Linked DNA regions of Oreochromis niloticus. The protein of the gene in region 1 purifies or fractionates together with the protein of each later gene. This does not show direct contact. Links are inferred from orthologs where the notes say so. Each region holds a gene or a part of one and is shown on either strand. Other genes may lie near its edges.

The links. The genes of interacting proteins can lie anywhere in the genome.
Region 2: the proteins of krr1 (region 1) and gnl2 purify together in Homo sapiens (affinity purification with mass spectrometry; 3 studies listed by BioGRID and IntAct, with this or other methods). This does not show direct contact. The link is inferred for Oreochromis niloticus from reciprocal best matches to the Homo sapiens genes KRR1 and GNL2.

What each region holds. Positions count from the first base shown.
Region 1 is NC_031981.2:36,711,811-36,718,658, reverse strand, and holds the start of krr1 (KRR1 small subunit processome component homolog), read right to left. Parts: upstream 3,011-6,848; 5' UTR 2,993-3,010; coding exon 2,855-2,992; intron 2,744-2,854; coding exon 2,635-2,743; intron 2,479-2,634; coding exon 2,303-2,478; intron 691-2,302; coding exon 556-690; intron 404-555; coding exon 278-403; intron 1-277. Other genes in the region: uncharacterized protein LOC102080708, read left to right, coding at 6,210-6,245, 6,368-6,439, 6,540-6,658, 6,741-6,801. UniProt on the Homo sapiens protein: Part of the small subunit (SSU) processome, first precursor of the small eukaryotic ribosomal subunit.
Region 2 is NC_031976.2:27,058,744-27,066,225, forward strand, and holds the start of gnl2 (nucleolar GTP-binding protein 2), read right to left. Parts: upstream 3,021-7,482; 5' UTR 2,820-3,020; coding exon 2,756-2,819; intron 1,544-2,755; coding exon 1,459-1,543; intron 1,333-1,458; coding exon 1,238-1,332; intron 1,050-1,237; coding exon 910-1,049; intron 1-909. UniProt on the Homo sapiens protein: GTPase that associates with pre-60S ribosomal subunits in the nucleolus and is required for their nuclear export and maturation.

The DNA.
Region 1 (6,848 bases):
AACTTCAAAAGAAATCATCTGTTAACGAGAGTTGGAAAGACACATGGGCTGATAAATGCTGCCACCTACTGACATTAATTCAAAAGTGCACAACACTGAGACTTGTTTACATTGCAGACTGGTGAAAATCAGTGACACAGATGCACAATTCATGATTTAGAAACAAATTGGATTCTCTTACTTTTTCTAACATCCATCACAACACTCTGTGGAAGGCATTTTCTACATGAACGTGATTAACCTTAGACAGAAAGCTGGACTCTGGTGTGAGACATACCTTTAGGGTGGAGCCTTTGGGGCCAATGAGCCGCTGCCTTCGCTTCACAAACCGTTCTCTACTCCTCACCATAGTGCCAATTTTGATGATGTCACAGGCAGTGTCATCCTGTAATATTCTTACAGCCTGGCGGCAACAACACATCACTGAGGTAAAATGGTATCAAAAAGTCTGCATCACTCTGAGTGCTTAGTGACAGCAATCACACACATACTCGAAAACAATAAAGGATGAAATCTACATGTTGTGCATGCTGCAAACTGGCACAGTAGTGTTACCTGTTCAAATGGCACACTCCTTGCCAGCAGCTTAATAAGATCTCTGGCTCTCACAATGGCATAAGGGTCAAAGGTCTTCTTAGTGGTGCAGACTGTCATGCTGCCTTCTATTAGGTCCAAAGAAGGTTTAATGTGCTGAGAACAACAACAAATGATTCAGTATGTGAACAGCTCAGGTCTGCAATTCAGCCTCGTATAGCTGCCAATGTAAGAGCCAAGTTGACACTTAACTGGAAAAAAATGTTATATAGGAGAAAAGTAAAACCAAAATAACGTGAGACATCTTTATAACTGGGGATGTGGCCATGTTCAAAATGAATTAAAAAATACAGTTCAGCTGTAGGACTTTCTGACACTGTGGACCATGGCTTTTGCTGAAAGTGGCTTTTAACAGGTTTCTTCCTGTTAAAAGGGAGTTTTTCCTTCCCACTGTCGCCAAAGTGCTTGCTCATAGGGGGTCATATGATTGTTGGATTTTTCTCTGTATTTATTATTGTGCTATCTACTGTACAATATAAAGCGCCTTGAGGCGACTTTTGTTGTGATTTGGCGCTATATAAATAAAATTGAATTGAATTGAATTGAATTGAAGATACAAAGAGCTTACAAAGCATCAAAGAAATCTCACTGTTTAAAAGGTGTCGTGGGCACCTTTAAACAGTGACACATCTCCACAATTTCCAAGGCATTAAACATTGCGTGGAACAGAATGAAGACAGCCATCGAAGAGGGAAGAAACCATGGCAAAACAGGGACATTACTAAAACACTAATGGGGAAAAAAGCTTTAAAAAACTGATCCAGTTGGCTTCCAAGATCACTGCAGAAATAGTAAAAGGAGCTCCATATACTTCACCAGTATTGATTGTGTACTATGTGTCATGACTATCTCTGTATTCTTCATATGCCTGGGCTATGTGGTAAAGTGTGTTACACTGCTGAGAATGGGTAAGGAAGTACAACAGATAAATTAAAAGGGAATCACTGCCCCAGTCTGTCCAAACCAGAGTCTAAGCAGTAATCTATGAACAGCCCCAAAATAACAGTCTGCTTTTGCACAAAACCTGTATGCACCTGGCAGAAGGCAGGTGGGGAGGAATTTCCCATTTCAGTACACTTATCCAAAACATATCTCCAAATAAAAAAATAAAAAAAATCACCTCCAATAGAAAGATATTGTTTGGGAAAAGCCCAGAGCCCAGATATGATTTAACTGAATAACTATGGGGACGACTAGAGAGATGACAATATAACGAAGGTATATCAACAACGACAAGCTTTCTTTGCAATTAGATGATTAAAATGTAGAACCAAAAATTTGTATTGCACTTATAATATGGCGTAAATAACAGATTCAGAGAAAACATGGTAGCCTGCTCCTGAGAGGTTGTGTGGTCAGCATATGTTATTGTAGCGATTTGGCCGGGTAAAAGAAGAGGTACTTTTGTAATAGATTTCAGTGTTTTTCCATTTGAATTTTACAGGTGATAGGTCACATTAAACTATTATAATCCTGAAATAATTTCTCCTGGAATCTTTTTTACATTGCAAAAACTGTTAAAAGGGGAGTACCGACTTTATATCAACTATATGTATACATTAATACAAGATAGCATACAACCTGATGAGACTAAAGAAAGTGGTTAAAAAAAAATTGTTAACTTTCTTCATAGAGCTACTATTTGAGATACAGCTGACAGGCAAGCATTATCATCTGCGTTCAGTGTAAGCAGCTTATTCTGACTCACCACCTCTCCTAAAGCCTTCTCCACCAGAGGCCAGCACTCTTTCAAGTAGGCCTCCCTGTACTTGGGGAAGAGGGTGGCAAAGCTACTCTCCTCCAGCAAACCGCGGGGGTTATCCTCTTTGGTGAACGGTGGCTCTTTCCATCCATCGGGAACTGTCAGGAGTTCGGATTCATCCACTGTAGGACGCACGTGAAGTCACGTTACTACAGCTCATTACAACTGAGGCATAGACTGCCAACACGAGGTATACTTAAGCAAAGTGAATAGAGTATGAGTTTGAGACAGAATATTGAAAAGATATACTGAAGGAAGGTGGAGAACGGTCCACTGACCAAAATAATAAAAGTTTGAAATTCTCATCATCGATGTGTTCCCCTGGATGAGGCGACTCAGTCTGCAGACTTTGGAAACGTGTCTGAATCCAGGCAGGGTTATAGCTAGCTGCCCGGCGTCAGGAAACAGTTGTCAGTTTAAGTATGTGAAAAGTAAATGTTCGGGTTATTCTTCTTGATGCGACCCTTTAACACAGCGAGTAAGGGTAACTACACTCACCAAACCAATCTGTTTACAATGCGAGAGCCGCCATGCTAGCAGAACGGTAAGTCCCGCATGCCTCGCAGCTGCCGTGTAAAGCTGGGAAACAATACTCTTCTTCACGGGGGAAGGGTCGCTGCTGTCACTTAACCTCATCTGACGCGAAAGAATCAAACTCACCTTGGTTTTTAATCTTTTTCGATTGTTTCCCCGTTTGCTCCTCACTCACGCCGTCACTGGCTGTGGAGGACGCCATTGCTGAGAAGAAACGGAAGTGACGTACAATACTCTTCCTGGTGCAACCTGGTGTCTACTAAAATAAAAATAAAAATAAAAGCTTTCTAACATCTCACCTGTTTGTTTTTATTCAGGCAAACATGTATACCATTTTTATTAATAGAGCTTGTGTTTCCGTCATGTAGTGATTGTGCTTAACTGTATGAAGCTTATTGTGTGAATGCTGTAGGCATCCCTACAGTTAGGAAAATATGGCCATTTGTTCAAGGGGAATCCACAAAACCAGAAATACACTGCAGATTGAGGAGCTCCAGGCTGTTTGACTGACATAATATTTGTTCTAAAACATAGTAATTCTGCCAAATCATGGTATTTCTGCTACTTTATGGTATTTGTGCTAAACACAGTATTTCTGCTAAATCATAGTATTTCTGCTAAATTATAGTATTTCTGCTCAGTTATTGTGTTTCTCTTAAGTCACAAAATTTTTGCTAAGATGTTATGTTAATGTTCCATGTCAGAAATACATTGCAGACAGCCTCTGTCTGTGTCTGTGTGAGCTAGGGGTGCAGCTGTACTGACAGGAAAAAGGTAGATTGAAATTGAGCAGTTCCAGGCTGTTTGACTGGCATAGATACACACAGGCCACACTCTTAATAGCCCCTGTTCACTCCATGCTCTGTGTCCTAAATTAAATGTAAAAACATACACACACTCTGACACACAGATGCAAATATAAACGCACAGATAAATTCCTCGCATGCGTCTTCAGCATTACTGGGTTTCTGCAGCTCCTGGTTTTTGTGTTTAATACATTCCAGCACACAAGCAATTAAACACTATGAATTGTTCCACAATATTTGCAGTCACTTTATAATGGGTAAGTTGTGAAAAGGCAGTCACTGATCATCACTATAACATTTTGACAATAAATTGTATTTGAATAAAATTATTTCCTGTAGCCTAAATATGTCTCTGTACCTGAATAGAACTAAAGATTTTTCTCATAGGGTTAATAACATGTCTACCAACTATTTCATGTCCAAATTACTGCTGAGAGTTACTCCAAAAACTTCCTTTAGTGGCTGTTCATCAGAATATTTATTTATTTTTTGACATGAAAATCAGTAACTGTTTGTTTTTAACACCTAAAATTCAATGTGATGCTATTATCCTGCCAAACAACATAAAAGTCTCCAAAAAGGTTAAGTATGGAACATATTATAAATGGAAAATCTTATATTGCACTCTAAGCACAATAAATGTGGCAGGAAAGATCAGTGCTCTGTTGCAGTATGCAGAGTACACTTGTACATTTTTCACAGTACCAAAAACACATTGGCTTTGCAGACTGATGATCAAACACAGAGATAGAGGTTGCAGAAAAATTACAAATACCTGAACGTTGCTGTCTTATGTCATGCAGTCACCTAAAGGTAGTAAGTTTGACCTTCGGAGGGTCATCATGACTAGGTCATGCATGCTGATTTCCAGTCATGTGACTGGCTGATTAGATATTTGTCTTAATGAGCAGTTGAGCAGGTGTACCTAAGTTACCCGAGATTAGTCATTAGGCCTTTTAAAAAGTATTACTGCCCTTTGTGCATTAATATTTCTAGTAACACTACTTTAACTGCAGTGAGCACGTGAGACATCCCTTTTTATGGAAAAGGAAGGAAAAGTCATATTTATTATTTTTCACATATTACACAGACTGTTTGGGCTGACCGAACAGGCTCAGACTGAAGCAGTGCAGTTCCTGGCATATTTTCAAGTATCATTAAAGTTATCACGTGTATAAATCTCACCATTAGATGTCAGTAGATTGCAGATTGCAGTCAATGCAGTCGCTTTTCTTATCCCTCCTAATTCAAGTGCATAAACTGATCTACGTTAGCTCTGGTAATTCTGACGATCGTTCAATAAATCTTTGTTTAATCTCCAAAAGTTGAATCTGTTCATCTGGACGTAGCGTTTTGTGGGAGAAACGTTTCGTCACTCATCCAAGTGACTTCTTCAGCTACGCTACGTCCAGATGAACAGATTCAACTTTTGGAGATTTACTTTCCTGGATGATTGAGAATGCATCAAGACCTTTGCTTAATCTCTTTATTTGCTTTTTGGAGAAGTGAAGTTACAAAAACTTCTTCAATCAAATTTGCTTTGGTGGACAGAAAACAACCGTTGACTGTTTGGGGTTACCTTTTATAAGTACTGAATTTTCAAAAGTGAAGTCAGTTCTTCTGACCAGGTTCAGACCAGGATAAACAAAAGTATAATATTGAACCTGAAGTATGATCCTCCCACCCACTAAGGGAACCGCTCCCAGCTGTGGGTTCACCTCCTCCTGCTGAACTCAGAGCAGCAACCAGTCCAGAGAGAGACTCTAACGTAGCATCACTTTCATGGTTCACTCCTGAACTCCTGTGAAGCATGACGAATGTGGCCTCTCTAAATATCAGTAACTAAGAAAACATGTCAGTAGGCATCCTAGTAATTAATGACTTCATTATTTGGGGTATTATTGTTATAAAAAATAATAATAATAGTATTATTATTATTATTGTGCTTCGGGCTTTAGGCTGTACTGATAACGCAGAGGTCTCTTCCTCTGGGCTGTTTAAAGGGCCAGTTTATCCAAATGACCAAAGCTGTGTATATACCAGCTGCTGTCAGGCTTCAAATGTTTGCATTGGTCCCCTCCACAGTCCACTGTTTTGTAAGCCATTGCTTTACTGCATAAGTTCCCATCTACTGTAACAAAATGGAGATAAGCAGGCACATAAAGGCATGCTGTAGGTTGACTTTGTCTTTTCTGATTCGTCGGTTTGTGTGGCTCTTTTCACAGGAGTGACCTAACCCACACTTTATTTACTTATATGATAAATGAAGTTGTAATGTGGTGCAAAATACACAGTGTTTTCTTTTAATTTAATAACATGAAGCTGCATCAAGTTTCCATGGTGACTGTTCAAGAAATTCTGCATTCATAAACAAACATCAGACTGTCAAAGGAGCTCATCTGTGTGACAAGACCACCGAGTGGAGAGCATTTTCAGGTCGAGATCCCACCGTACGCCATCATTGGAGAGCATTTAAAAGGTTTTCTTCCCGACTGTGATTTGACAACGTCTAAATGGAATCAAGTCAAGGAATCTATAAACCTATCAGGGTATGTGACCGTTTTTGTTTTTAATGCATTTCAAGAATTTGAAGAATTTGATGTAGTTTTAAAAGTTGACAAACTGAGAATCATTTTAAGTAACAATGACTAAATTGCTATTTCTTTGACAGGTGTTGTTCAACACACCGATTTATGAAACAGCTGTAAAGATCTGCTGGCATCTTCCGGGCTACAGGACTCAGGTTAGACCCAGATTCATGCAAACCAAAGCTGACAGAAAATATCAGGTAATTTCTGAGGACCTGAGCGTGGTGGTGATTAAATGTCTCCTTTTACTTTTAGATTGCAATTATGACGGAGTTTCTCAGACTTCAGCAGGAAGATCTAATTCCACCTAACCTCACTGCTGAAGATCTGAGAGATCTTTTGGTGGAGAAGAGCAGGGAGACACTCAGAGAGCAGTGAGTTACTGTCACACTGAAAGTCTGTTTGTGATGACGTGTAAATGCTGAGAGAAAACCTCTGCTTTGCTTTCTTTTGAAGGCTGTGGGAGTTTAAATTGGAGGATTTTGAAGAAGAGGAAGCCAAACCTCTTCTAAGGCTGGTAAGACTAGAAAACTCACAAGACTTGTAGTAATTTGGAAATTTCTT
Region 2 (7,482 bases), on another chromosome or scaffold:
GTCACAGGCTCTGTGCCGACTTTCATGTACACTCCATCCATACTGAACTAGAAAGCAGTGTCAGATAAAGTACACTCCCTGGCATCTGCAGTTGCCTGTAAAACTCTGAGTAAGCAAGCTTAATAAATGCTGCCATTATACTTTTATCAATGCAATGCACTTTATTTTGCCAGGGTATTAACACATACTTGGAAAAGTGACATATTACATCAATCCTTGCTGACCTTTATTAAAATTCTGAGGTAGCCGATAAAGACTCGTCTCCAGACGATAGCTGGAACCAGCCAACTCCCCATGAGCTGCTGTTAGAGATCCTGGAAGGCTTACTTGTGTTTTCTTATTGCAGTAGTTGGCCTTTGTTGTCTGGATCCCTACGCCCAGTAACGCCATGGCTAGACATCTCAGGCAGGCAAACTGTGTGTCCTCTTTTAAAACTCTTGTTTTTGTTTTACCCTTGTTGACACAATTTGTTGTTTAGCTATTATTTTGTTATCATGTTTAGATCCCAAGGTTTGCATTTTAATTATACAGCTAGGTCTATACCTGACAGTACCTGACAGCGATCACATCCAGTTATTATTATTTCTTTTTTCTGAGCATCTGAAAATAGAAGACTATGGATAAAAATACCTGTAATCCCTAAACAACGAATTCAATATTTTTATTAAACTCCTTGAATTAAAACGTCACCTCTGCACTTCAAACACATCTCAACTGCTTAATTTTAATTTCAGTGTGTTGGTGGTGATTGTTCATAACAATATATATAATAAAATTCTAACAAAGTCACATTCCTTCTTGAGAGCCTCCCTAAAATGAACTGGCACACTATAAGAACAGCAAATAAAAACAAGCAAACAATGAAAATATTTTCTTTTAAAGAAAAAGCTTTAAAGCCTTTATACTCACATGGGCTTTGACTCTATCGTGCAAAAGGGACATAGGCAATTTGCTTTGTCTCATCACCACACGATATGGATCCTTCTTTACTGCCTCCATCTCCTCCTGGAATTTCTGGAGGGATGACTGCTTGATCACACGGGTATTTGCTTAAATATAGAGTATAGAAATATGGTATAGTCATATTATGACAAGGTATTGTAGTGAACATTTTTTTACAAATTCAACTGACAATATTTCAAACAAGAGCAACATATGAGCAAATGGTATTACCTCCAATTTAATTACATTTACAGTATACACTATAACATACACAACAGTAAAGACATTTTCTCACCAAACCATTTGATGTTAGGTTCAACTCTGGCAACAGTTCCCGGAGCTACTGTGGACTGGTACTGCAAAGGTTTGACGACTTTTCCACGGCTATTACTGTGGACAAAAGATCTCTTTAATTTCCTTAACACATCACTTACATTTCATTGTAACAGTAAACTAAATCAATAAAAAAAGTCTGCAAATTAAAGGTCAACAAGAAAAATAAAAATATTTGCTTACCATCTTTGTTTTTGTCTGTACATATTCAGGCGCTTGATAGTGGCTCGGTCCCTCATGTTGTTTCCACCAGCACCTTTGGCTCGATCTATCGAATAAATTGATGTTTACTTTAATGGCTCAATAACAAAATCCACATGCTATTACAATGCACTTACTGGTTAGTCCATTTATTACTAGGGAAACACAATATTTATAATCAACTAAGGCCTCTGATTTTTTTTAAAGGACCTTGCAACAACATTCATGTTTTATAACCATATTTTATTATATGGTTTTAAATGTGCTGAACAAATGACTGGGTTTCAGTGTAAGGTGCCGGTGTTGTGCCAAAAACTGATTGTCTGCCAAAAACTGATTTCCGGTATTTGCCAAAAACTGATTGCTCATATTTAAACTGCTATAAGTAACTTGTTGGGCTATAATATGTGAAACATATATCAAATGCATCCCTTATGGATGACATAAAGTCATCTTGAGCCACAAACAACATTCGTGTAACAAGGTAGAAGCCGCAATCAGTTTTTGGCAGTGACTTTTATATAACCTTTATTTATGCAGTTAAAAAAAATCTCATTAACATTAAAAATGTCTTTTGTAAGAGTAAGCTGGCCAAGAGGACAGAAGAAATGGCAGCAAATATTACAATATTTCAGTAAAAATATTTTAAGTGGGGATAAAGGACCGGATTGGTTATAATGTAAGTACAATAACACAGAGTTGTAAAGATACTTGAAAAACAGATAATTTTTTAATTCTATATATAACCCCTTTGTAAACCCTGTTCACCGAAGTCTATTTACGAAGATACGTAAAGATATTACACATAAAAATACACAGAAACATTGGAAATCAGTTTTTGGCAGGCAATCACTTTTTGGCACAACACCGGTATAGTGCTGTTAACAGCTTATACAAACACGTAAGTGCATAATTCCTATCAAGATATACTGCAATACTAGTTATCACTACTAACCAGACACACAGTACACGTTCATTTTTAAAGGAGCATAATTCTCCACCCCAAGATTGTAGCTGTTTCCAGATTTTACCGTAAATACGTTTAACTTTCATAAAACAGGTGTTTGACACGGCAAAACTCAAAAGGCTATATCTTCCTACAGTGTACACAACAGTGTAAGTTAAGTTTTAGATTCATCACACCGCTGTGAAGTCTTATTTTTATACGCAAAGCTATTATTATCTAAAATAACGCAAAAATGACTTTCTCTGACAATGACTAGCAACAATTAGCATTAGCTGTAAACAAGCAGTTTGGCTAATGGGAGAGTTAGCTCACCGGGGTTGCTGCTGGATGTCGAGGGGTTTATTGAGCTTTTCCCCTTGTACCGTGTCTTCACCATGTTGCCCTCTTAGTCGGTAAAGCCTTCCACAGAAAAAAAAATACGAAGGTGTCTGAACGCTGATGTTTTACTGTCGTTATTCCCCTCAGCTCGAAAATGTACACCCTACACGTGTTCTTAGGGTGAACAGGAAGGACATCATCAATAGAGCGACGGAGGGGAGAACCAATCAGAAAGCTCCTGCGTGCGTACTTAGGCTGTCGGTAAAGCCTCGAGTATACTTAAAGGGAAATTATGGTTCTGCGGCGGTAACGCGTTGTCAGTCCGTGGACAGCTACTAACTGTCTACCTCCAGAGGGCGTCTGTTGTCAGATGAGGCTCTCAAAACTATCAAAACTATATACCATCTGTAGATCATGTGCTGATGTTGAGAACAGAGAACTACTAACCATTTTCAGTAGTACAGTAATGTAATACATTGAAGTTTCTCAAGTTATCTGCAGGCTGGGTGGATAGAAAGAAAAAAGCCCCACGCTTTTTTTTTTCTTTTTGCGCTCCTGTGCTACAATCAACTGATTTCAGTTCCCAGAGGAGGAAAAACGGCAGTGAGACCTGCAGAGAGACATTTAGATATTACTTTTATGTTTACTGCACAAAAGGACAAGAGCGCAATGGTAAAGCGCAAACTGCATCCAGGGCAGAAGCAGCCGCATTTAGCGGGTTTTAACGTAGTTTGTTGGGAGAGTGCAGGTGTTCGACCGCCCAGTGTTGATTGGTTGAGAAGCGCACGACACCGGAATAGAGCCATAATAGCGAGAACCACAAAAAAGAAAAAAAAGAAAGAAAAATCTTCAAAGATCAAAAATTAAATCATGAAAAACACAGATAGTGGTTGCAGGGACAGTGGCCCATAGACTGGTCACATACTTTGTACACTGCCTCCATCTGACAACAGAGCTCACTGCATACAGACGGAGAGCGGACAGCGAATGCACTCTCTCTGCTCAACCATAAATTCTGCCTTATATTACTAGAAAAACTTAAGCTCTTTGCAAGAATCTGCACAGACGGCATGCTACAAAAAGCTAGCAAGGATCCCAGAGTGATGACAAAGCTGAGTAATGGAGACCACAGTAGCCAGACCTTTAACTTCTAACAGGTAACGTAGGTTTTCTCTAGGGCAGGACATGCAGCCAGACCCTGAACTTCAACAGGTAACAAATGGATGAACAGTCAGGCTGCGGCCTCTGTTCATCCATCCACCTGTTCATGTTTGTAAAGTAGAATCACTTTAAGGTTTTTAAGATCTCTTTGTCCTGGTTTTCATCTTTGCTTTGTGCTGTCAGCATTGGGTTCATACCTTAATACTAAGAGAAAGACCGTATGTGTGTCCTCATTGGAATAGGGATTTTCATTGGTGTGTGGGACTTTAGCCTATAGGTTAATATTGTTCAGTGGTAATTATGAGACAATGAGTTCCAGGTCATTTTATGGAGAAACGCAAAAATGATGTAACAAGTAGTGTAGTATGTGTAATAATTACTTTTTTGAGTAATGGCCCCAACACCAATCACAACAAAAAGGGGAAATACCTCCAACGTGTGCAAACATTTGATCACACAACACATAATTAATTTGCACGAATGTGATGTCTTTTATATGCTGGTTAGCATTGGTGAAGACTCTCAAAATGGAACCAATGAGAACCAAATGAGAATCAATAAGATGATCGATAAGCGATCACATCAATAATGTCATCCGAATCGCTAAATTCTTTCAATTCGCATCCCTACTGAGGTGTTACGTAAACACTTCATTAGCAGTTTTTGTGGCTTGAAAGTGCTAAACCTATTACAATGAAAATATAATATGATGTTAAAATTATTCATGGATAGTAATGAAGTAATGAAGTTGATAGTGAAGTTTCAGACTGGCTGAAAACTATATGCCTGATGTCTACTCATGTTAATGCTATGTTGCTATGCCCCATTTAATCCAGAAGAGGGTGCAATGCAATTTGCATTAGGACATTGTCACATGCCCTATCTATGGCCACATGCCAAGTAGCCCTTTAAGTGACTACTGTCTGCAACGTAAAATGACTAATAAGGCTCAAACCATGTATCAGTAGTCAGGCGTTTAAGCGCACCAAGGTCCAACTTTACATAATTCTTTTTGTTTTTCATTTTTATTACATCCATATCTTATTAGTTCAATTAAATGTAAAATCAGGTATTTTCTGTATTTTTCTTTTTACTTTTTTCATGAAGATCAAAATGTTGATTCAAAGCTTTCTTTACACTTCAAGAAATTCAATTCTAGTAGGCTAAATTTTTCATACTTTGTGACCAGAGAAACTTACCTCAGTGGTGGCTATGGACCTACTTGTGAAGTGCAAATATAGTCAGATATCAAATACACACACATGCACACCCGCACACCACACAAATTTTAATAATGTTCCATATCAATTTCAAATGGATCTGGAAGCAATGTGCATGACAAAAAAAAATAAATACCAGAACGCTGGACTTTTTTTTTACCTGCAGCAAACAGAACTGATGCCAGCTTTCGCAAGAACTGTTTGATACTAGCATGTATGAAGGGCAAGTTTTACGTGGTTGTGATGATGGTGCCTTCACAGTGTTTATGGTACGTTACACAAGTGTGGCTCAGTTCCAAGGTAGGGTATTTCATAGAGACTTTGGTCTGGAGAGGCGCCATTCAGTATTCAGTTTATACAGCCGGGAGACTGAGGAATGTTCTCTGTTCATTTTCATACACATGAAATTGGAACTGACTGAATGCTATAAATGATTTTTGGAAATTGGAATTTTCTTTCTTCTTTAAGTTTAAAATCTAAGCAAAAAATTTAAGGACAAAATAATCTTCTCCTTCTTACAGAGTTTCTTCAAACAGGGAAGAACCGATATGGCCAAACTCTTCATTTAAAGTCTGGTTAATTTAAATTCCAGCTGTTGCAGTTACAGACAGATATTTTGTCTGTAACTGCAGATGTCTTAAACATTTTGGTCTTTTGACTAAATATAACTTTTTATTTTCCAAACCTTTCAAAGCGTAAAGTGGTATGAAAGGCACTGTGTTAAAATATAAGACCATTTCTGCGTGTATGATAACGGTCTCTTTGCCTTTCTCTGCACCTGGTGCTCCTTTATAAATGTGAACCAGTAAGCGCATCATAGTATGGGTGCTGTCACCCTAAAGAAAGATAACTTATCTAATAAAAAGAATCTTGCTAGTGCAAGTTTACTGCATTCAGTCATCTGTCATAAGAATGATTGTGGGATATATTCTGTCTTTCTGTCCTCAGAATGACTGTAGGTTATATTCAGTCTGTCCTCACATTCGTCTACAGTGGCTGAAATCTTTATTGCTACATTTTATTGCTGCTAAACTAAGTTGGCTGAACTTGCTAACTTCTTTGTGTTATTTGCATGAAAAGTTTTGGTTAGGCACAACCAGCGCAAAGAATTGATTGGAAAAACATTATTCAGAATTTGCATTCAACCAGAAAAGCACTGACCATCCATTTACCATATATGATAGATGGACCACAATTTATGAGCAGCAGGAAAATCCACAGGCTTGGAAGGCTTACAAGCAATTTTAAACCAATAAACCTCCTGACAGGGTACATGTGCAGCTTAAAACAGAAAAAAAAATTGCTTGCCAGAAAGTAGAACATCCAGTAATTTTATTAACATTATATCAGCCACTTATTACTTCTTTACCACCTATGTTTATTACATTAACAGTTAGTTCCTTTGTTCTTTTCTTATGCAGACACAAAATACATAAAAGTAGCTCTAAACAACTTACTTAAGGGATTCTGATTCAGAAAGACGTTTATATTACAGCACACACACATTTTTATAGACCCATAAAAAATAAGAAATGTTGAAATGATGGCGTGAGTATCTGGAGTGAGAACACTTGACACATGATGCGAAAATTTCTCTTATGTGACGCCACTTCTTGATCTTCTTGCTGTGTTTCGTGACAGAGACGGTTTGCCTATTACATTGTAAAGATATTGAGAGCCAACTGTTAAAGTCACAGCATTCGTCTTTAAGGCAGATATTTAATCAGCTCATCAATCTCTGCAGTTTCTAACCAAGAACAATGGAGTCATGGGGAGTGGGGAGATGGGCATCAGCAGATAGCATTAGAGCACCTGTGTTTAATAAGGTTAGGACCGAACTTTGCACAGAAGGATATCTCAGTCCCAGCATGTGTTTTACAGATTTGATATTTTCAGCTAAAAAGATTCATTTCACAAAAAAGTAAATGATGAGATGTCCACTGAAAAAAATGACACATCCTTTCAAAGTGATTAATTGTGCAAAAAGCATCAAAAGAAGAGGAGATGATTTTAGTCCAAAACAGAGAATAGACCTGAGTAACAGCTGCCTGAATCTTTTTTGATTTATCAAATGATTTTCCTTATAAACACACACATTACTCCTAAGAATATGTTGCTTTGATCATGTGCAGTTTAAATAAAAGCATACTAGTAAAAAAAGTTACATAAGAATTAGGAGCAGAGAATAAAATGCAAAAAGACCCCCCCCAGAAAGCAGTAAACTTTGTTTTAAAGTGATGTTTTTGTTGGAAAACTGTGAAAAACTAACAAGCTCACAACAGTAACAAATTTACAGGTACTTGTAAATCAGTGCCACCCAAAAACTACCAGGCTGTTTTA